Medicago truncatula: one gene and its partners. The protein of the gene in region 2 interacts with the protein of the main gene of each other region in a pairwise test. Links are inferred from orthologs where the notes say so. Each region holds a gene or a part of one and is shown on either strand. Other genes may lie near its edges.

Region 1 (7,349 bases), on a different chromosome or scaffold from region 2:
AGATTATCGTGCTCAACCTCTTGTTGCTTTTCTCATTGTAAATTAATGGACGGGGAGAGAGAAGGATAATGGGTCTAAAAAAATTTAGTATTAAGGGTATATGATAATACTATGATCTTCAAAAATGGTTGCCATCTATTTTACAAAAAAAAAATAAAAAAAAATAAAAAATCATGTCTCCTACGGTAGGAGATCTAAAGAGGTCTCCTACCATAGCCTTTGTCTTATTCTCATATGTCATTGTTCTACCGTGAAATAGCGTTGCTTGTGTAGTATTTTTGTTTAATTGAAATCATAGATTTGAAAGTTATTTATGTAAATCTGTCTTGGGAATCATTGAATTGTTGATTTGTAAAGATATTGCACAACACAACTTATTGTTTCGAGTAATTATTGATTAATAGTATATGTAGTTCTTCTTTGCCTAAAATCGTTGAAACAGAGACTATGTGCACGCATAACATTGCAAATCAAAATAAGCGGTAATAAGTGGAAGATTTAATTGAACCCTCTACCCAACTTTATTGTTACTATTTTCTTCCCCTAAATTTTTTATTATTTTCTTATTTTTCAATGCAGATAACATTGTAAATGCGCTTTGACGCATAACTCGCGTTTCGACGTCTAACTTGTATAGAGCATGGACCCGTGATTAGCACGAGTTTGTTGCTACTAGACATAAAATATTTAACTTTTTTTTAAAAGATAGAAATTTTAAAAAAAAATTAAGTTAAATGAAAAATATATCTTAACCTTCAATATTATTTATGTGTCCTTGTTCATTTTTTGTGTGTCAATTAGTAATTTTTTTTGACAAAGGAGTGGATGCAAATAGGAGAGATTGAAATATGTAATACAATCACGTGGACTTATTTGTCTTGAAAATTGCTTTTCTGACATAAAAAATATTAATAACACATGGAAAATTCGAAAATACATTAGCGGTAGTTAACTACGGTTGTGTTTGTTCCGGGAATGCAACAACTTACATTCAACCTTTTTTTTTCTATCATTCAACCTCTTCTTTCAACATTTTTTTAATTAAACCCCCTATTAATACTCTCCCAACCTTCACCATTTCCTCATACCATCATCTCACATTCTCTCCTCCTCACTCTCCTTCCTCCTCTTCCTTCTACAACAACTAGAGCTGTCAAAACGGGCGACCCGGCCCTAATGGGCTTCGGGCTTTATCGGACCGGGCCAAAAAGCCCGGTTGAAAAAACGGGCTTGAAATATACTACCCAAGTCCGGCCCTACACGGGCAGGCCCGTATTAATTTTATTTTATTTATTTTTTTTATAAAAAAATTACTATAAAATACTCATATAATTTTTTTTTATAAATAATATTTTTAATATGTTTAAATAATTCCTAGAACAAAAATAAATTGTAAACATTTTTGTACAAACGTCGTAAACTAAAACGGCGAGGAAAACAATTTTAAATAAATTAGATACGTTATGGTTATAGATATTTATATTTTCGATCTTTAAAATTATAAATAACGAAACAGGTAAATATAATTTTATATTACATGTATATTTGTGTTAATTCATTGAATTTTCACTTTTATTTATTACTTTGATAATCAACTAAGTAAAGAATTATTTGCAAAATATATAACATTTATAGGTTTTTATTTGTTATGCGGGCTAGCGGGCTACCCTCGGCCCGTTCGGGCTAGCCCTAACGGGTAGCGGGCTTTTTAGGGCCGGGCTAAAAAACCATATTAAAATTCGGGCTCAATATTTAAGACCCAAGCCCTATAATTAATCGGGCTAAACGGGCCGGCCCACACGGCCCGGCCCGTTTTGACAGCTCTAACAACAACAATGTTGTTTTTTTCATCCTTGGCCTTTCATTGAAAGAGGCATCTTTGAAAATTTGAAAATTTCAAGAGGTTTCTTTGAATTGGTTTTACCCCAGGATTTAGGGTTTATGGTTTGTGATTTTTTTTTTTGTTTTAACCCAAGTGGAGGTTAAACAATAAGAGTGCAGAGGTGAGGCACAATTCGAGAATTGATGTTGTCATGTAGCAGTGCCATGAGGAACAATTGATGGGTCTTCTTGATGTTGTCTTGTATGAGTATCTTGGAGAAGAGTATCCGGAAGTTCTAGGTTCAATTTGAGGTGTTCTCTAAGATTCTTTTTATATCGTTTTCTGGTGGTTTTTTTTAACTCAGATTTAGTTTTACCCCATCATGAATGTATCATAATATTAATAAAATGAGATTTTATACCTATTACTTTTGTTCCTTTATTTTTGCATTTATTTTATGATTGTATATGGAATAAATAAATCCGAATAAAAATTGTGTATTAAAAAATAAATAAATTCAAAAAAAGACTAATTAAACACAACGTGAATTCGAATAAAAATTGCGTATTAAATAAATTCGAATAAAGTTGCATATTAAATAAATTCGAATAAAAGTTACATTACATTACATTACATAAAGTTCCTAAATATGTCCTATCATTACATTACATCCGGGTAGAGATATGTGGTGCAACAACTGTCTTACCTCTGAAATTGGACAAATTCAAACCTGCTAAACAACAGCTCTCAAGCATTCACCTGGAAGTTTTATTGTCTCATTCAAAAGATTAAATTCTTGTTAGTTTGTTGAAGATGTTGGTATTGAAGTGTCAAAAGATTAAGAGAACACAACATGTATCACGCAGAATCAGCTACATATGTTATCACATCGATTTCCCTCATATAAGACGAGTAATCACATAGAGAATGAGGTGCATTCTGTGACACTCATCTTATATGAAGGAATTCAATATCATAACTTATATAGCTGATTCTGCATAATACATGGTCTCTTAATATTTTGACACTCCAATACCAACATCTTCAACAAACTAACAAGAACTTAATCTTTTGAAAGGCACAATAAAACTTTCGGGTGAATGCTTGAGAGCTGTTGTTTAACAGGTTGACCTTATCCAATTTCACAAGTAAGACAATTGTTGTAGTTGGAAGGTGCATTCCCTACCTAATCACGATCTTCTGGCGGAATCAAACTGTTGAGAATATCTTCAGTTGATCTCTGCAACGTGACAAACATATCGATCATCGGAACCATGTTGTGCTGCCAAAAAATCGAGAACATACTCCTCACGTCGTCGCCGTTCTTTAACTCTAGCAGAATGAACGTTATTCTCCCGTCGTCCAACGTTAAACGTTCATACCAAATGTATTTCACCCTTCTCGTGTCTCCGGGGTTGAGTCTTTGGTTGATTTCATCTAGTTGATCCTTGAGACCTTTTAACGTGACATTAATGTACCGAACCTTGAACATCTAAGGATTTCCACCGTTGAAGCGTATGCAAACACTGAAAAAATCGGCCATTGTTTCAAACATACCTATACAATAAAAAAATTAAACAATCAATGAAAAATTCATTCAAACATTTCATCAAACATTTGGAGTGCAAATTATACACAAACCCTAAAAAACCCAATTTTTTTTATAAAACTTGAAAAAAAAAATATAAATTTAAGCAATATAACTCGATTATAACAAATATTCATAATATTTGTTAATAGCATTTCAGATCTATAACATAACGCTATTAAAAAAATAAATCAAAATTTAAAAATTAAACTACAACTAAAATTATAAACATATATACCAACTAAAATTTATGATAATAGCCTAAATGATTACTTAATTGTGATTTAGTGGCAAAAATTTGGATGATTTGGTAGAGTTTTTTTAAAGAGAGAGAGTGAAAATTGAAATTTTTAGAGAGAGAGAGTATTGAAAGGGTGGCTGGAAGCTGGGTCCTGACTTGAATATGTAACGAACGCAGCGGTAGTTAACTGTTGCTAGATATACCAATGGTAATTAACTATGCTGGGGGCAATTTTGTGTTTACCATGTGTTATTAGGAACTAATAGATGTTAGGAAGGACGTAGTGCACATGTGAGAGACTTAGGTGAGTCATCCATTCTAGAATTCACGGTATTCTATAATGGGATAATAGTCCCTAATGTTAAAATGTTTCATTAATATTGTTATATTAATTCTTCAATACACTTACTTATTATCATATCGGTCTTTATAAGTACTCACTCATTGTCATTTTTAGTATTTATATGAAAAGAGTTATTTTGAATATTGATATATTATTTTAGCGTCAAGACTATTTCAACTAAAAGTGTGTTGCGTGCACAATTAAGAATTATTTTAAATTTTGAAACATTGATGAACTATTGCAATTACTTGTTGAGGGGACATAAATGACTATTAAGTATTATCCCATTATTTAATCTTTACTTTTTATTTTTATTTTTTTTGAGAGGACAGTGCCCAACTCTTTTGGAAAACGGTAAAACGACGACGTACTGAAGTGGTGATTGAGGGGCAAATAGGGTACACTACTTGCAACAACAGTGAACAGAAGCACTGAAAATCCGTTGGGAAATCCGAAGCTATCAACAATGGCGATTTCCGGCGACATTAGAGTCACTGCAACTCTTCCACTCCATCGCTCACACCCTCTTCTTCCAACCACTTCTTTTATTCCTCCAAAGGTATCGTTCCTTTTCTTTTTCTCTAATTAGGGTTTCAATTTTAATTTTTAATTCGAGCTTATATTTTTACTTTCAAATTGATGGCGCTGTTTTAGATTTTACTGTGTAGTGTTAATTATTAAGAATGTGTAATAGAAAAAATGAAAATTAATGTTTGTGTTGTTTTAATAGTGGTGTTGAAGAAGAAAATTCGACTCTTTTACTTTAATTTCTAGTTCAGAAATGTTGGAATTTATGTATGTATTTAGTTTGGTTTGGCAATTAGCATGATATTCTATGAAGCAACAACTTAGACACCAGACACCAGAATGTCAACACCGATAATAATTTGAGAAAATGACATAATTTAAGTTAATTATAATTATATGCGTCGGTGTCAGATTCAATATATTCAATATGTATCTGACACCGGGACATCCTAATCCAAGGAGTATTTGTGCTTCATTATGTTTTAAATTGTGATTACATTAATTGAAATTTTGGATAAATGTTGCTCATTAAACCATATTTTAAGCTTATATTTATGGCGAGTTTGGAGAAATTATCGTGGGACTGTGATTTTTGTTGAAACTTCAAAGTGTAGTTTTTGTTAAAATTTTGGTAGCGGATTGTTATTCTGTTAAACTCACTATCAATTCAAACATGTACTGAAACCGTGGTGCTTTTTGTTATAGATGTATTTTCGGATGACAGAAGTCCTTGAAAATTATATCACATGTTTGAGTAATAAAATGAAGGGGAATGAGGTCTCATAGTTTTAATGAGCTGTTATGTTATTGTCTACAGTTTATAAGGATTGTTGATTTACCACAATTCATTACTCACTATGTCCAATAATAATTGGCCTATTTGCAAAAGAAATTTGTCCCAGAATAAGTTAGTTTCAAAGGTTGTCCTAAAATAATTGACGCTTTCAATTTTGAAGGTCACATTAATTAAATATACCACTCCCAATTCAATACCTTCTACTTTGCATCAACGGCGATGATAAATACACCTATACATGATAAGGATAATACAATATAAGTACTATTCTTTGTCTTTAATTTATACATTTTGTTGATTTGTGCGAAATAGTCAAACATGTCATATTTTATGGGGGGAGAGTGATTTGCAACTCTATTTCGTGTCCCTCTAGACCAAAGTATCAGTGGAGTGCATAATTGTTTTTCCACTATATTCCATTTGATTGGAAATATGTGTTATCTATTGTTATAAAGTTTTTGCCTTAGAGAAATTGGAGAAAATATATGTGTAGCATTTTTCCATTTTGTGCTGACCAGTTGCTAAAAGAGGATGTGATACAGCTGTTTTCCTTTTTGATATTCAGTATAGTGGAAAAGGTTGTATAAAATGATCTTTTATCATATTTATCGTTGAGATATTTAATTTAGATGCTTGTGGCTGGACTTCTTAAATGTTACATTTTTTATAGATGCGAAAGTTTACTTAAAATCCTTACAAGATTTACAAAATGTTGAAAATGCCTTGTTAATCTCTTAATTTTTCTGTCTAACAGGTCGATTTTCATTGTTTCTTAAATGGAGGGTCCTGCATATCTGGATTCACCCCAAAACGTTCCACCATGACAACTGTACGAAGCAATATGCGTGGCTATCACAAGCCTGTTTTTGCAGTCCTTGGAGGTTCTAATTTTTCATCAAAGTCAGGTAGCCAAGAAGCCGAGAACTTTCTCCTTGATGCTGTTAATATGAGTTTCTTTGAGCGTTTAAATTTGGCTTGGAAGATAGTTTTCCCATCAGCAGTGTCTAAGAAAAGCTCTGTTGCTAGGATTGCCAAGCAACGTTTGAAGATGATTTTGTTCTCTGATCGATGTGAAGTAAGTGATGAGGCAAAGCAAAAAATAGTTAGCAACATTGTGCGTGCTCTATCAGATTTTGTGGAAATAGAATCACAAGATAAAGTTCAGTTGAGTGTCTCTGCAGATACAGATATTGGAACCATTTACTCTGTTACAGTGCCCGTACGGCGGGTTAAACCAGAATATCAAGTGGTGGATGAAACTGGGACAATAACAAATATTGAGTATAAGGACACCGGAGATATTTCAGGTTCTGTTGATGTTAGATTTGATTTCTATGTTCAGGATGAAACGTCTTGATTTTGAAATAAAAGGTCTTGAATGTTGACTTCTTTGCCAGAAGGCAGTGTTTGAAACCCTTACCGATGAAGCCAATTTGGAGTGCTGTATATATATTTGCAAATTGAAGCTTCCGTTAGGGTGGGTGACTCGATTTTAATGAGAAATTTTGTAACACCTTTTATCTGTTAGTCTGGTTTGATGCACTGTTTTTAACTTTATGATAGGATTTTGTTGCTTGTTGTATGAATCATTATTATAAATGGAGTTTGTAGTTCATTCTCACTGGCCATTGTAAGGGAGCTGATAGTTTAAGCCTGAGCATATTAGTTAGAATAAAATCATGGATTCTCCCTAGCTAGCCAAAGCCATTGATGCTCCACTCAAACCAAGAAGAATCTATGTGCTTAATCTTGTTTGGGTTAAGCAAACAGCTGCAAAGACCTTGACATTCCTTAAGTAACATTACCATACCTTGTATCTTACAGCGGTTTCCTGAGAGGTCAGTTAGTTGCAAGTTTGCTCTTCGACCTTGCTGAACTCTTCGAATCTGGCACCAACTTTCGAGAGGAGCAAAAAACTAAACAAGCCCAGGAGCCATGTGATCTATATTTGCCCTATGAAGAAAAATGGAAGAGCTGAGAAGAAAAACTCATATGTTGTATCTATATCAATTCGTTCAGAATGAAGGATAT
Region 2 (7,828 bases):
TTTTCTGTGCATTTCCTGTAAAATGTTCCACCTATAAGTCGTTAACCATACAATATTTTTACACAAACAAAGAGCAAAAGAAATACTTGGAAATGAAACTTACAGATTTTAGAACAGATATGGCCTTAATAGCTAGCAAAACAGCATCATTTGCAGTCTTCATAGCCTCATCTAGAGTCAACAAGTCTTTTTTGAGAAGTGCGTCGATATCAATTTCTGTCTCATAAACAACAAAAGTGAGCAAAATTTCAAACTTTCTGTAGGCATTTTGATGATCCTATTAAAAATAAATTATATTTTTCTTTCTTCTCCTATTCAACTTTTATCAGTTTAATTCACAGGAACTTTAAACCACTTACAGCATCCACCCTTAATCCCAATGATAGAAATCCATCTAATTACTATATCTTTCCAATTATTGTCACCCTATGCATGTTAAACTTGAGAAACTCTTAAGAATGCCTTTTTTTTTTGCATTACAACAGCGCGGTTGGTTGAAGTAAATGTGCTGATAATTTATTTATTTTTAAGAATGCAGGAAATAAGTTATATTTTTTTTTTAAAAAAAATTATTGATGTTTGTGCCCAAGTTTGAGTATTTTCAGGCAATATGGATCGGAGTTCTTTTGTATGTGTGGCATGCAGGAAATATAATTCCAAAAGCATTCCTAAAATATGTACAAAAAGTTGATTTTTATCTAATAATTGGTTGCTTCATACTTGTAGGAAGGTCTTCAAAATCAGTCTCATGTGCCCAATTCTCATACTTTCTATGATTTCAAGCTGGTAAGCAAGGAAAATCTTGCAAAAGTGAAAGTAGCCATGAAATTTACAAGGGTATTTATGTTATATGAAGTAAATAAAAATATATAATTCCCTCTGTTCTTCACTACTACATAAAGTCACTCCATAGTGCAGAATCCAGACCCATGACCATGAGACTAACAAGCCCAACTGACACCTACCAAATATCAGATTGACAAGTATTGATTTTATAACTGATTCGCTTTCACAGAATGTGTTACAACAACAACCAAGCCTTATTCCACTAAATGGGGTCGGTTACATGAATCAAACAACGCCATAGTGTTTTATCATAAACCATATTTTTATCCAACGCATTAATCTCTATCCTTCTTGATAGTTTCTCTTATTGTTTTTCTAGGTCTTCATCTACTTCTAGTGATTTGACTCCCCTCCATTTGATCTACCCTCCTTACTACTGAATTAATAGGCCTTCACATATTGTGTTACCAAACAAAAAAAGACATTGAGCAAACTTGTGACGTATGTCGCAATGGGCGAATCAGCAAGCTTCACCTTCAGACTTAGCACAGCCAAACATGATATGACAGCCTTTAATGAAGTTTTTAATCATCAACACAACTAAATCTTCTTTGAGAAAAAGAAAAAGTTGTAAAAATATGGCACATAGCTCACCAATAAGTAAATTAGTATTCTCCTTAAGTTTCCCCATCAAAGCTTTTACCTGAGAATTCGTGACACAAATAATTATATCATGCGAACAAAAATGCTTGAATTGCAAAACATAATAGTTTAATCAAGGAAACTAAATCAATCCTTAAGTGAAAAATATTAAGATGGTTAATAACATCTAGTAGCATTTTTGCAAGAAATCACAATTGATAAGATGTTGAGCTCACTGAATTATTCATCATATTGCACGGAGATATGTTTCAAAAACTATCATACAGATTGGTTTGAGGTTATGATTTCTGATGCCATTACAGTAACAAAGTAAATCAAACAAAGCGTCATGCATACCTCATCTTTTCGTCTTAACCCTTCAAAGCTAAAAGGCTTCAAAACTATGGCAATTGTGAGTCCATTTGTGGACCTTACAGTTTCAAAAATATCAAAAGCGACAGTGTGGTCTGATCCATATCCTGCACTAGCCACCTAGGAAGAAAAATGGGGGATAACCAAAGGTCATATTTGGACCACTTTCACGAATCATGGCTGGAAAAATACAACCTAAGGCCATACATCCTAATTCATGGCAGTCAGCTTTACCGTATCTAACAATCCAAAAAGTCAAGCCTTAGAATTTCAGTTGAACAAAATAAAATATCTTTTCACGGTGATGAATAACAAATTTAAGTAGTTCAGTTGACTTGTGTACTTCAAACATCAGTTTAACATGATAAAGCAAACTACACTTGAGGTAACTTTATGGATGAAGATCACCAATATTGAAACAAATATTTTATTGCGAGAGTTTTAAGGAAAGGAATGTACAAACAAGGACAATGGTCTTTGAGCACGACTTCATAAATACTGGGGCTTTGACAATTCCTTGGCAGGGTTCTGCAGAGATAACGTCAAATATCAGTACCTTTAAACAACAGAATGTGACCTATGTATGAATATTTGGACTGAATTCTCAGGTTTAAGCTTCATTTTTAGTAGTGAAATGCATGGAAAAATGAAGAAGAATCACAGAAATGAGATGCAAACCTTGTTTAGTAGACCTTTGTTGTAATTGCGGTTCTTGTGAATCTTTCACAATGATATTCCTGGTAAAAAGAAAACATCAACAATTATAATCTAATCTTACTAATTTTTTCTGTAAATTACTTTTTCAAATTACTTTCAATTCATGATCCTAAAGTAGCGATTACATGAAATTGTGTATAAATAATTACCAAAAGCGCAGAGAAGACAGCTGAAATGGAGAATTCAAGCAGAAATCAATAACTGCGTCCTTTCTACCGCCAATTGCAATGACTTCAACCAAATCGGATTTCGCTTCTTCTCCAATATCAATTCCGCAGCTGTAACCGTTGGACGACGGAAGTTTGTCCTCCGTGCACATTGTGATGTGTAGAAACGGTTTTGAATTGCGATTGCGACGAAATCCATAATCGCAGTGACGAAGAAGAGAAAGAGAACATCGACATTGAAATTGATTCAAGGTGAAATTAGAAATGGCTTTGAAGGTTGTGGGTAATGCAGTAAGCTCCATTTAGCGTTGCGTTGCTGTTGTACAAACAATAGAATAGATAAGGCTTCCTTCATTAAGGCTTAGCTATGTTCTCTATTCTTTCTCTTTCTAGTATTCCTACACTATTTTTTCAACCAAAAAGAAAGAAAGAAAAAAACTCTTTTATATGTAAATAGGTGAAATAATAGTGAGTTAACGATGTTGCGATTCAATATTTTGATTGATTGTGTGTGCAAAGTTACTTTGACTGTCAATCCACCACCATTAATCTCTTTGTAAAATATCATCGTTAAAAAATGTGAAAGTTTAAGAGAAGTTTGAGATATCTCATATATAGAAGGATCTGATCCAATGGAAAACATATTAAAGTTTAGTGAGAAATAGTCATTTTAGTTTTCAAATGTGTAACAAGTAATTATAATAGTCCTATTGAAATTTCAAAATATTCCCTAATTGTGAAATTTGTTGTCAAAATAGTCTTTAACGTTATAGTAGTCCTTCGATGTTTACAACAATTCTTTTTTATAATGAATGATATGACAATACGAAAGTACTTTATAATCATTAATATAACAATAGGTAAGTATATTGAGAGACTGAAATGACAATATTAATAGAAGATTTTAACGCAGGGATTATTTGAATTGATAAAATTAATAATCATGGACTATTTTAAAATTTTGACACATTCAAAGACTATTGTGACCACTCGTTACACATTCAAGGACTAAAATAACTATTACCCTTAAAGTTTAACATATTGTTGCCTAAAAAACATATTATTATCTTTTTATCTTTTCAAATTTGTTTTTTCTTTTTTAAAAGATAAAACGAAATACGTTACATCGTTACCACAACCAAACAAGTATATCCTATTAACACACACACACACACACATATAGGACATATCTTGTGAAGAATGGGTTAATTATATGAGAATGATGAGAATGCTTATCAACCATATGATCAAAAATAAATGATCCTACATTAAAATCTTCATATGTGTCTCACCCTATTCTATCCATTCTCATAAACTAATTCATTTGTTCATTCTCCCAATTGCCGTCGACAACAACACTTTCTGTCAATTACTCTTCACCACCATTAATTAACATAGACAACAAGATCCAAATGATTTTAATTGTAAATAATTAACCTGAAATAATGCTTATTTTTCTTCATCTTTTTCATTGTAAATAATTTGGTTCATAGGAAATACAGATCTAGTGAGTTATATTTTCAGGTGAAATTAGATTCGGTAATGAAATGTTAATATTACGGAAATCAGTTGAGAACGATCGATCGTGATGAACATAGAATAAAAAAACACATAAACAGTTGAAATTGGATCTGAAATTGTTTGGGATTTCCGATCACGAACTTGTGCAAGAAGGTGGGAACGATAGGTTTCCAACTACGAACTGATGGTGGAAGGTGGTGACTGTAACGCCCACTTTCGTTTAATCGTTATTTAATTGAGTTTAGGCAATTATATTATAATTATATAATATATGCATGATTTTGATATGTTTTGATGATTTGTGGTGAATTTAGTGATTTGATTGATGATGTGATAAGTTATGAGTTTTGGAGGATTTGATTATGATATGAGAATTATTTTATTGTTAAATAAAATAAAGATTTGAAAATAATATAAAATATTTAGTTGAGGGCTGTTTTGATATTTTAGATAGTTTTGGGGGTGAAAGTGAGATAAGATAAGTAATTAGGAAGAGATATAAATAGGAGAAGACCTAATATTTTAGAAACTCTTTGTACGTGAAAACTTTTGAAAAAGGGAGAAAAGCTTAGAAGGGAGAAGAGCATAGAGGGCTGTGATTTCTTCATAACCAGGTAAGGGTGAGACTAATAACTCAGTATTGTTAATTGAATGTGATTCTGATGATTAGTTAACAAGAATTAGGAGTGATTTGGAGAAAACGAAAACTAGGTCAAAACCTTAGAATCGATGATTAAACGGTGAGAATTGGTTTAATTGATGTAAAAAGTGTTCCTAGACCTTAGATAATGTTTAGGACGAATTTGGAATCAAAAACAAGCTTAGAACCTTGTGAAACGTCGAGTTTTTGTGAATTTAGGAAGTCTGGCCGTAGCGACATTCATCGCTCGCCACAGCGAGCTATGAATCTCGCCTCGCGAACCCTGTTCCTCGCCTCGCGAGTTGTGCAATGCAGCTCGCCATAGCGAGCGACCTTACTCGCCATAGCGAGCTAAGGCAGAGTGCATGTTAGATTTTGTGTTTCGACCTTTTTAGTTGGACCTTGGATGCTTTAGTGTGCCTGAACATACCTAGTTATGATTAGGAATGAATGTAGGGCAAGATTAGACCCAGAACAACCTTAGTTTGGGAGTTGAGTGGTACTCGCCATGGCGAGTAAGTACTCTCGCCTCGCGAGTACAACCAGGATGAACTTGTTTATGTGTTTGTGCGATCTGTGTCGCACTTGTTGATCAAGAGTGGACCCCTAACTGGTAATGAGACCTAGTGATGTTGTTAAATGCAGTCTGTAGAGTAGTCTAAGTCATGATAATATTGATTGAACATGAGCTAATGTAATGTATATTTATGCAAGATATGAAGAGTTGATAATGATACAATTTATGTGCTATTGATATAATGATATCATCTTGTTATGTGACCTGTTTATGCTGCTTCCGTTATTTAACTAAGTGCATAATTATATGATGAAGTTTAGCTCCAAATTATTGGATGCATGTTGATAAGTTGATTACGATGTTTTGTTCATATGTGTCCATGCATAGCATATCATTGAGCTTAGTCCTCACCACGAATATTAGGAGCTTTGTCCTCCGCACGTTTTATAGGAGCTTTGTCCTCCGCACGATTAAAGTATATTAATACTTATGATGACGATTGGTACCACATGCATATAAGGAGTCTAGGAGCATTGTCACATTGTCATGATTAAGATGTCTTGTTGATGATGAATGAATATGTGATTACGTGATAAGTGTTTAGTGATTATGTTACGTTGTTCATAATGAATTGGATATATGATTACGTGATAACTGTTAGCATTTATGCAAAGTTAATAATGGAATGATTATGATGTTAATTATGATTCGAATTACTTTGATTAGCATTATTTTGTTATGAAATCTCACCCCTTCTGCTTGAAAATGTTGCCCTTCGTATGGGTAACTTGCAGGTGATCGTGCTTAGTGTGCAGTTGCTTCTGTGAGTGGCCTTGCCTCACTGTGTCGTCTAGGTCGCTCTGATACGTAACGGGATGGGGTTTATGCATGCTTCATTCTCTTACGTGACTAATATGTTATTTTTATAATGTTATGGATTATGATTATGAACTTTTGATGGGGCCTACGTGCCAAAACGTTTTATGAATTATGATTATGATTTTCCGCTGCAATGTTTAAGATATTGGTTAAATTATTATTTAACTGTTTGGATTATGTTTTATGTGATATCCCGTTGTTTATGATGCTTACTCTGATAAATGTTTTTAAGAATTTTTATGTTGGGAAAACGGGGTGTTACAATTGGTATCAGAGCAGGTCGGTCCGTCCGGTCAATTAGAAGAGTCGTGTCGAGTCTTAGTAATATTTATATTACTATCTTATGTTGTTGTTGCTACTTTTGTAGAATCTCGGAAATGGCTGGAAGAAACGATGCTGCGTTAGCTGCTGCTCTACAAGCTGTTGCCCAAGCCGTGGGACAACAACCTAACGTGAATGCTGGTGCGAACGCGGAAGCTAGGATGTTGGAGACGTTCATGAAGAAGAACCCTCCGACTTTCAAAGGACGTTATGACCCTGATGGAGCCTAGACGTGGCTTAAGGAGATTGAGAGGATTTTCCAGGTTATGCAGTGCACGGAGGATCAGAAAGTGCGATTTGGTACTCATCAGCTGGCCGAGGAAGCTGATGACTGGTGGGTTGCTCTTCTGCCTACCCTTGGGCAGGAGGGAGCTGTTGTGACTTGGGCTGTTTTCAGGAGAGAGTTCCTGAGAAGATACTTTCCGGAAGATGTTCGCGGGAAGAAGGAGATCGAGTTCCTTGAATTGAAGCAAGGAAACATGTCTGTGACAGAGTATGCTGCCAAGTTCGTGGAGCTGTCTAAGTTCTACCCACATTATACTGCTGAGAATGTTGAGTTCTCGAGATGCATCAAGTTCGAGAACGGTTTGAGGCCCGACATTAAGAGGGCGATTGGATACCAACAGCTGAGAGTTTTTCAGGATTTGGTTAATAGCTGCAGGATCTATGAAGAAGATACGAAGGCTCACTGCAAGGTAGTGAACGAGAGGAAGGGCAAGGGACAGCAGAGTCGTCCTAAGCCGTACAGTGCCCCCGCTGATAAAGGGAAACAGAAGATGGTCGATGTTAGGCGGCCTAAGAAGAAGGATGCTGCAGAGATTGTGTGCTTCAGTTGTGGCGAGAAAGGCCACAAGAGCAACGTCTGCCCTGAGGAAATCAAGAAGTGTGTCCGGTGTGGCAAGAAAGGTCATGTTGTAGCTGATTGCAATCGTACAGACATTGTGTGCTTTAATTGCAATGGAGAGGGTCACATTAGTTCACAGTGTACTCAGCCTAAGAGGGCGCCGACTACTGGTAGGGTCTTTGCTTTGACTGGGACTCAGACAGAGAATGAGGATCGTTTGATCAGAGGTACTTGCTATATTAATAATACTCCTTTAGTTGCTATTATTGATACTGGTGCTACGCATTGTTTTATTGCTTTCGATTGTGTTTCTGCTTTGGGTCTTGATTTGTCTGATATGAATGGAGAGATGGTTGTCGAAACTCCAGCTAAGGGTTCGGTGACTACTTCTCTCGTATGTTTGAAATGTCCTTTGTCTATGT
Region 3 (8,059 bases), on a different chromosome or scaffold from region 2:
TAGTAATCTTTGATAGAAATTAGATTACAATCTAAAACCACAAAGATTCATTCTTTGGGAAATTTATTCTAAAATACTAACCTCACACATTTTAAGGTTGCATCTATTTGAATATTAATATATAGAGAGAGAAAAAAATAAAGTTACGAAGCAGCTACAACATTTTTCATCTATCCAAACTAGAAACAATGGACTCAAAAACATCTTGGCGGCAAGGAAGAGTGAGACCCTTACGATCATGATCAAAACCAAACTCTTCTTCAGCTTGACGGAGAAGGTTTTGAAACACTGGTTGATGTAGAAAAGAAATTGGAATAACATATTTGATTCTGTTTTCTCCAACATACACAGCAATGTAGCCTTGGGAAATATCTGAATCAAGGCATTGACGATCATTGTTAACTTGTGTTTTCTTGCCTAGACATGAAAATTTCTTAAGAAATTTTTTGATGGGATTTGTTGGAGCCATTGTGTGGATTTCGTGTGACAATATAAGAGATTATAATTTTAGTTATGGTTTTTGTAAAGTGGTATGATATTAAACACCCTGCGAATTCTATTTATAGACTCACTCATGTGCATCTCTTAGATATTTTTATATAATTTAAAACCGTATATTTGATTTTATTTAAATCCAAAATATAATTCTCTTGAAACAATTTCAAGATCATATTTAAATAATTTTAAAACCGTATATTTCATTTTATTTAAATCCAAAATATATTTCTCTTGAAACAATTTCAAGATCATATTTAAATAATTTTAAAATCGTATATTTCATTTTATTTAAATCTAAAATATATTTCTCTTAAAACAATTTTTAAATAATATCTTTGATTTTATTTGAATCCAAAACATATACTTTTTGAAAAAATTCGCTTATGTGCACCTTTTCAATATTTTAAATAAAATATATATTTTTTAAAACAATTTCAAAATCATGTATTTTATTTTATTTAAATTTGAAATATATTTCTTTTAAAAAAAATTCAAAATCATATCTTTAATTTTATTTGAATCCAAAATACATTCTTTTTGAAACAATTTCAAAATAAAATCATTAATTTTATTTAAAACCATTTTATAACACACACATTTATATATATATATATGTGTGTGTGTGTTTTCAAACAATTTCAACATTATATCTTTGTTATTAATTTATTAATAAGCCTCTTTGACAAAAAAAAAAAGGCTGACTTATTTATTTATAATTTTTTTTCTCATCTATTTGTATTTTGTGCTAGACCTTGTATGTTCTCGTAACATTTGTAATCATATTAAATAATACATATTTAAGTTAATATTATATACAATAAATAGGAATTATCGACACATAAGTGTCATCCAAGTGACAAGAATGTCATGTGACCTGACAACACTTTTATGTGATAACTATAATGGATATAATTACTTCTTTTCCCTTTATGCCTATAACAAAAAACAACATATAGATTGTGTAATCTATGTATAGTTCAATATTTATATTTCTTGGTTTTGAAATATATTGAGTAAAGAATAAATTCAATATCTCATTTTTTTTAAGGAAGTTCAATATCTCGTATTAACTTAGTTAAGCATGACCATGCATTTTTACACTCATATTCGTAAGAGTCTTAAATACATTTTTCATGTTTTGAAAAAGTTGTATTTTTAGGCTGGTTTTCAAGTGGGTTTGGGCTAAAAAAACTAGGCCTTTTCCTCAAATTTGCAAGAGAAAAGAAAAGTGTTTTCTTGACATAGAAAAGTTCATAAAGACACAAGTAAAATACATTTATGCCCCCAGCAGTCGTTAACTGCCGTTGGTTTTTCCCCCAAAAACCAGAAAACCCCTACCTCTCCTATTCATTCATCACCTTACACCACCAATACCATACCAAAAAAAAAAATCCCCTTATCAAATTTTTTTTGTCAAAATCTTGCTTCCAAATCATTGCTGATCGATTGCTATGACGTTTCTACACACAATATGCATCAAATAACAGGTATTACAACGTTAAAATCCATTACATTTGATTGATTTTTCTGGTTATTTTGTTTTGTACTGTCACAAGCTTGAGCGGCAGTTAACCACCGTTGGGTTTGAGCGGCTGTTAACTGCCGCTGGTAACTTAGAAATTTTTTCAAAATTGTCAAATGGCAGTGCTACTGCCCAAAAAAAAAATTTCAATTTTTTTTCCTTTTGTTTTTTTTTTGTTTATGTTATTATATGATATTAGATACATGTTTATTAATTAGTTTAGTAATTGTATGTTGTTTATTTATAGATAAGGTTGAGAATGCGGGTGATCGAAAACCTAGAGTTGTCGATTCCATTAAGGTTGAAGCTCTCGCTAAGGTCGAAGCTTCCGTTAAAGTTGAGGCTTCAAGCGTCAATTCCGATGTGTGGAAACTTCGTGACAACGAAGTGGACACGGCTCATTTATTTTCGACCCGATGTGTGGAAACATGATTTGCCTTGGTTTAATCCCAAATCATTTTGTCCTTCTTTCGTTGGTTGTCCACTACCTCCATCATCCACGGAGTGGAGAAATCATAGGAGCGATGAGGCAAAAACATGGGATTATGAATTCTTGGATCAACACGATCGTTTCCGAGCACTCATGGAGATTGAGGACAAAGAGAGACCGATTCCACCAAAAGAACCAACAAATGAAGACAATCCAATTATGTTTGATGACACTCCAGTTAAAGAAAATGAAGAATTTGAAGATGTTCTGGAACATTTAGATTATTTGCTTTTGTTAGATGAAATATGACACTTTTTGGTCGGTGTTAATCTGTTTTTTAGTCGATACGTGCCGACGTATTTTTTGGATATATAATGTAATGATTAATTTTTTGGGTGATATGTAATAACCTTTAACTATATATATATATATATATATATATATATATATATATATATATATATATATATATATATATTTGAGTTTCGCATTTATTAGTAATTAATGTACATTACGTGTAATGTGTTGCACAATGTGAAAAATTTGATGGATTTCAAACAATTGTGAAACGTTAACGCATTATCGGTTTTGTGTAATGTTACCGAATAATTGATAAACTATGAAATATTGATGTTTGTGATTGCTTGATGTTGTTGTTTCGGTTTGATTTCCTCCTGAATTGTCGTTCGAAATTATAGGTAAAACAAGACAAATTTCCTGGAAAAAACCAGTGCAGGCTGCACCGATTCTGCTAACTAGTGAGAGCGGCAGTTAACTGCCGCTGGCTCCAGCGGTTGTTAATTGCCGGCGTATTCTTGAACGGCTGTTAACTGCCGCTGGGGGCATAAACGTATTTTACTTGTGTCTTTTTTGTTGTTTTTCACCTAGAGGCGCACCTCACACGCTAGTGCAGTTTTCGCACACCCTGGGTGTCACATCAGCACTCAACAGCGTGTTTTTGGGTTTTTTTTAGTCTTTCTGAGTGTTTTCTTCCTTGTAACTTGTCCTGAGACTCGAAGTAGAATTTATTCTCTTTGTAATGTCTTCAGATGCTTTTTGAATCATCATCCATTGTCTTCCCAAATTCTCTTGAGATGATTTGATTTGTCAATTTGCATTATTTTGCATTGAATTACATCATGAAACCTAAGAACTGTTTGGTTTTGGGGAAACTAGAATTGCTTGACTCAAAATGAAAACGTTACAAAAAGTTCCAAAAACCATAGACAATTGTTATAAATATCCTCTAAATTGGATCAAAACCTAAATAAAATGACTGAAAAATATGTTGAAAATAACGTAAGATGACATGTCATTACCCTTGACCCCAATTTGTCTTGTCCTTGAAATAGTTTAACAATCAAACACTGCACAAATCGAGCTATCATGTCCTTCATTTTTCTGCAGATCATATGCATTTATAGTGTGCCAATGCATTATTATACAATGTATAAGCTTATCCAATCCAACCTTTATAAAATGTGATTATTTTGGGCCGCTTATATCATTGCTCCAATTACAAGGATTCTAGTCATCTTACATAAAATTTTGCTCCTTCGCACCTTGAAAATACTAAAATACCCTAAACGGCAGCTAAATGTCGTTTGCTCAATGAATTAGTCGAATTTAATTGCCGTTGAAAGGCATTTTAGTAGAGAGCGACAGTTAACTGTCGTTGAAGGTATTTCGGTATTTTTGGGGTGTGAGGGAACAATTCTTGAAGTGAAAAGATAAAAATCCCATTTATAACAATGATAATAACACAAAATCATTAATTGAGTGCGATAGATGTGAGATATCGTGTGCTAACACATTATTACATAATCTACAGACTAATTTAATTCGACCATTGTCTAACGCAATCCACTTTGGGCCCCTTGTATCCATGGTCTAATTATAGCGGTGGTTTGTAGTAGCGCGATCATCTTTGGGTTACTTATAACATTGATCCAGTTATAATAGTGATCCATAGTAACACAAAATCATCACTTAAGTGCAATAGATATAATATATCGTGTGTGCTAATGCATTATTACACAATCTACATGGTCATTTAATTCAACCATTGTGTAACATTATCCTCTTTGACCCCTTATAGCCATGGTCCAACTACAACGATGATTTGTAGTAGCACGATTATCTTTGGGCCGCTTATAACACTAGTCTAGTTGTAGCAGTGATCTATAATAACACAAAATCACAACTTAAGCGAGACTGATCTTAGATATCCCGTGCCAATGTATTAAGTTAATTTAATTCGACAATCCTCTCCATTTGGTATAATAAATGGAGTATGCAATTTGGAGAGAGATAGACACAGGGTCCTACTTTTAAGTGGATCCCACCATCATTAATTACTTTTTAATTTTTTGAATTTTTTTTTATCTATATCTTTTCGAATGGATGAAATCGAGAGAATAATAAATGGAGAGGATCTTAACTCTTAATTAAGACGAAAGAGAAAAAAAAAATCCACAATAATTATTACTACTTGTTTTAATTTGTCGTAATCTCCCTCTTTTTCACCCAACGTTTTTCACACACACTTCTCTCCCCCAATTCTTCACTTCTTCTTTTCTTCTTCATAACAAAAATTCCAAATCACTTTTCACAATTTCTAAACTCAAACCAATGTGTTACGAATTTCCAATTCAACAATGTTGAAATTTCACTGAACAATTAGGGTTTTGAAGAAAGGGGAATGAGAGTTCGCTCATGGCACTGGCTAATGCTGCAGTGATCGGTCCTTCTCTGTATAGCGTTGCTCGCATCACGAAAGCTCCTTTTCCAGGTTCACATGGAGAAATTGGTTCTAGATTTTGTGGTTCTGCGTTTTGTGTTTGTTCTCACGCTGGGAAAAGTGATGTTGTTCTTGAACGGAGGAAGTTGAAATTTGGTGATAGTAATAATAATCGCATTGTTGAAAATCAAGTGTTGAAATCGACAGTCGAAATTCCGGTTTCGTGTTATCAGGTGATTGCAAATTGGTGTTTGTTAGTTTAATTGCGTGTTTGTGTGTTTAATTTGTTTGATTATTCATTCGTCATTGTAATTATCATCGCCATTTTTGCGAAGTAATTAGATGTTAATGATAGGATCTTAGTGAGTTTGATGAATTGGAGGAATGATTGGGAGTGATGACCGCCCCGGTGAAACACTGACACAGACCCTAGACATGACACAGACACACGGCACTAGTAATAATAATTTAAGGAAATAGGAGTGATTGTATCTAAACACATGCGTCAATGTCAGACATTGACACGTGTTAGATACTCATACACGTCTTCAATTTGAAATGTTAGAAATGACACATATATAGACACAGACATGTAGGCGCTGGTAATAGTTTAAGAAAATAGAAGTGATTGTATTTAAACACCCGTGTTAGTGTTGGACACTGACACATGTTGGATACCGGTACATGTTTTTGATTTGAAGTGTTGGTGCTACATAAGTGATATTTGATATGTTAAAGAGAAATGACTCAAGCTTTAAAATAAAACTTGATGTTAATTCTCTTTATTTTATCATAAGATAAAGGATGTTGCATGGAATTGAATGTTGGAAGGTAAAATAACTAACAAGAAACTAAACTTATTGTTGTAATGATGAGATTGTCAGCGCAGGCACTGACACATGTTAGATATTTGTGCATGTTTTTGATCTGAAGTGTTGGTGCTACATAGGTGATAACTGACATGTGATAGAGAAATAACTCTAAGCTTAAAGAAATCTTTGGTATTCATTTATAATAAGACGGATGATGTTTTATGAAATTGGATGTTGGATGGTAAAATACCTAACAAGTAAACTTATTGCTGCAGTGATGAGATTATGAGAATGTTACAATGGAGGAAGAAATGGATATATTAGACAAGATAGGATTAGAAATGAAATTATTAGAGAAAAAATGGAGATGTGTTCGGCGAAGACCTGTAGATTAGAAGTAGATGAGGAGAGCGTGCATAGTCTTATAATTAGAGGTAAAGGAGAGACCAAAGAAAGTTACAAGCTATAAACATAGATTTAGGGGTAGTTTTATTCTGCAATTTTGGCTCGTTGAATATGATTGGATAACTCCATATGTTTTATATCATCAACTAAGTTTGAACATATCCACCCTTTGCATTTTTGTTTTCCATGTTATGAAGGAGTTGGTGTTTGAGACGATTCATTAGTTATGATGAGTGTTTTATTATTGTTTTGAGATTTGTTCTAGACCACTTGGTTCATTTTGCAGCTTATTGGCGTTCCTGATCGAGCTGAGAAAGATGAAATTGTTAAGGCAGTTATGAGTTTAAAAAATGCAGAAATTGACGAAGGTTACACAATGGGCGTTGTTGCATCTCGCGAGGTATAGATGTCACCACTAACTAATTATGTTTTGCTAAAATTGGTTTTAGAGACGCAGATAAAGTAACTGAGTTGTTGTTGTTGTTTGTTGCTCTCATCTAATATTACTTTGCAGGATCTTCTGATGGATGTTAGGGATAAGCTCCTTTTTGAGCCAGAGTATGCTGGTAACCTGAAGGAAAAGATTCCCCCTAAACCTTCCCTTCGTATTCCTTGGTCTTGGTTGCCCGGTGCTCTATGCCTTCTTCAAGAGGTACACTTGGCACATACTTGGTCTTTTTAAATTTTTTTTCTTCCCGATGACCGTGTATTAATTTCTCCCTGTTTTCTGGAAATATTTGACTTCTACTTCTCTATTCCTTCTGTTCAGATTGGAGAATCAAAGCTTGTGCTGGACATTGGAAGAACGAGTCTTCAGCATCAAGATGCGAAGCCATATGCAGATGATTTAGTTCTTTCTATGGCACTAGCTGAGGTAAGACATATGGACAGAGGTTGGAAAATTACTATCTGAATTTAAAACAGTCTTGTTTATATACCCTATTCTTATCATAGGTGTCTTATTGAAGTGTACAGTTGCGAAAATTGGCTTTGAGAAGAACAAAGTATCTCAAGGTTTCGAAGCTCTTGCTCGTGCCCAGTGTCTTCTAAGAAGTAAACCATCTCTTGCAAAAATGACACTCTTATCTCAGGTGTGAAACTTTTTTTAAGTGTATATTCACTGACTGGTTTGCTTAGTATATATTACCTCAGACCCTAAACATAGGCTCCTCTTGAGAAATTATCATGTCCCTTTTTATGGGTCCCCTTCAAATTTTGAAGTGTATTAATTATTTCTTTATCAGCATAATACTTCTTATTAATTTTCCACCTTTTTTAGAACCAACTAATAAACAATAAATACTGTCATGGGAAAGATAAATTCACCCTCTCTCATAAAGGGTAAACTTGGAAAAACTATACCAATTGTTAATAAATTTAATTTAATACTACTTTCAACTTTCTTAGTCTTCATGATTTAGTCAACAGGGTCTAATATTTATGTATTTAGGGACAAATGTAGTATTTTACCAGGAAAAGATTAGGCTATAAGCCTGTAAACTCCACCTCTCATTTCAACTACAAAGAAAAAGGAATCATTAATTAAACAGGTGTAAAATTGTTGTAATCCCTAGTTTTTGTTTCTAATTCAAGAACATTGGGAATTTCCATGAAGTCTAGGAATAATGTGGTGTACTTATTTAGTGAAGATG

The links.
Region 1: the proteins of protein ACCUMULATION AND REPLICATION OF CHLOROPLASTS 3 (region 2) and cell division topological specificity factor homolog, chloroplastic interact in binary tests that used the Arabidopsis thaliana proteins (3 or more experiments, as listed by UniProt). The link is inferred for Medicago truncatula from reciprocal best matches to the Arabidopsis thaliana genes ARC3 and MINE1.
Region 3: the proteins of protein ACCUMULATION AND REPLICATION OF CHLOROPLASTS 3 (region 2) and plastid division protein CDP1, chloroplastic interact in binary tests that used the Arabidopsis thaliana proteins (3 or more experiments, as listed by UniProt). The link is inferred for Medicago truncatula from reciprocal best matches to the Arabidopsis thaliana genes ARC3 and PARC6.

What each region holds. Positions count from the first base shown.
Region 1 is NC_053046.1:18,841,273-18,848,621, reverse strand, and holds cell division topological specificity factor homolog, chloroplastic, read left to right. Parts: upstream 1-4,327; 5' UTR 4,328-4,460; coding exon 4,461-4,553; intron 4,554-6,072; coding exon 6,073-6,675; 3' UTR 6,676-6,939; downstream 6,940-7,349. UniProt on the Arabidopsis thaliana protein: Acts as a topological specificity factor during plastid division and specify plastid constriction sites (such as the Z-ring) in a MCD1-dependent manner. Especially involved in epidermal plastids division in a FTSZ1-dependent manner.
Region 2 is NC_053042.1:54,510,909-54,518,736, reverse strand, and holds the start of protein ACCUMULATION AND REPLICATION OF CHLOROPLASTS 3, read right to left. Parts: upstream 3,099-7,828; 5' UTR 2,987-3,098; coding exon 2,667-2,986; intron 2,538-2,666; coding exon 2,479-2,537; intron 2,329-2,478; coding exon 2,264-2,328; intron 1,921-2,263; coding exon 1,786-1,920; intron 1,490-1,785; coding exon 1,441-1,489; intron 217-1,440; coding exon 104-216; intron 16-103; coding exon 1-15. UniProt on the Arabidopsis thaliana protein: Together with MIND1 and MCD1, regulates FtsZ ring positioning in chloroplasts in an ARC6-dependent manner. Z-ring accessory protein involved in the initiation of plastid division and division site placement (might functionally replace bacterial MinC).
Region 3 is NC_053047.1:36,577,342-36,585,400, reverse strand, and holds the start of plastid division protein CDP1, chloroplastic, read left to right. Parts: upstream 1-4,960; 5' UTR 4,961-5,165; coding exon 5,166-5,423; intron 5,424-6,693; coding exon 6,694-6,807; intron 6,808-6,921; coding exon 6,922-7,059; intron 7,060-7,176; coding exon 7,177-7,281; intron 7,282-7,375; coding exon 7,376-7,498; intron 7,499-8,059. Other genes in the region: auxin-induced protein 15A, read right to left, coding at 167-469. UniProt on the Arabidopsis thaliana protein: Component of the plastid division machinery required for PDV1 localization to constriction sites. Involved in chloroplast division site placement. Required for the proper formation of FtsZ rings at the division site in nongreen plastids (e.g. etioplasts).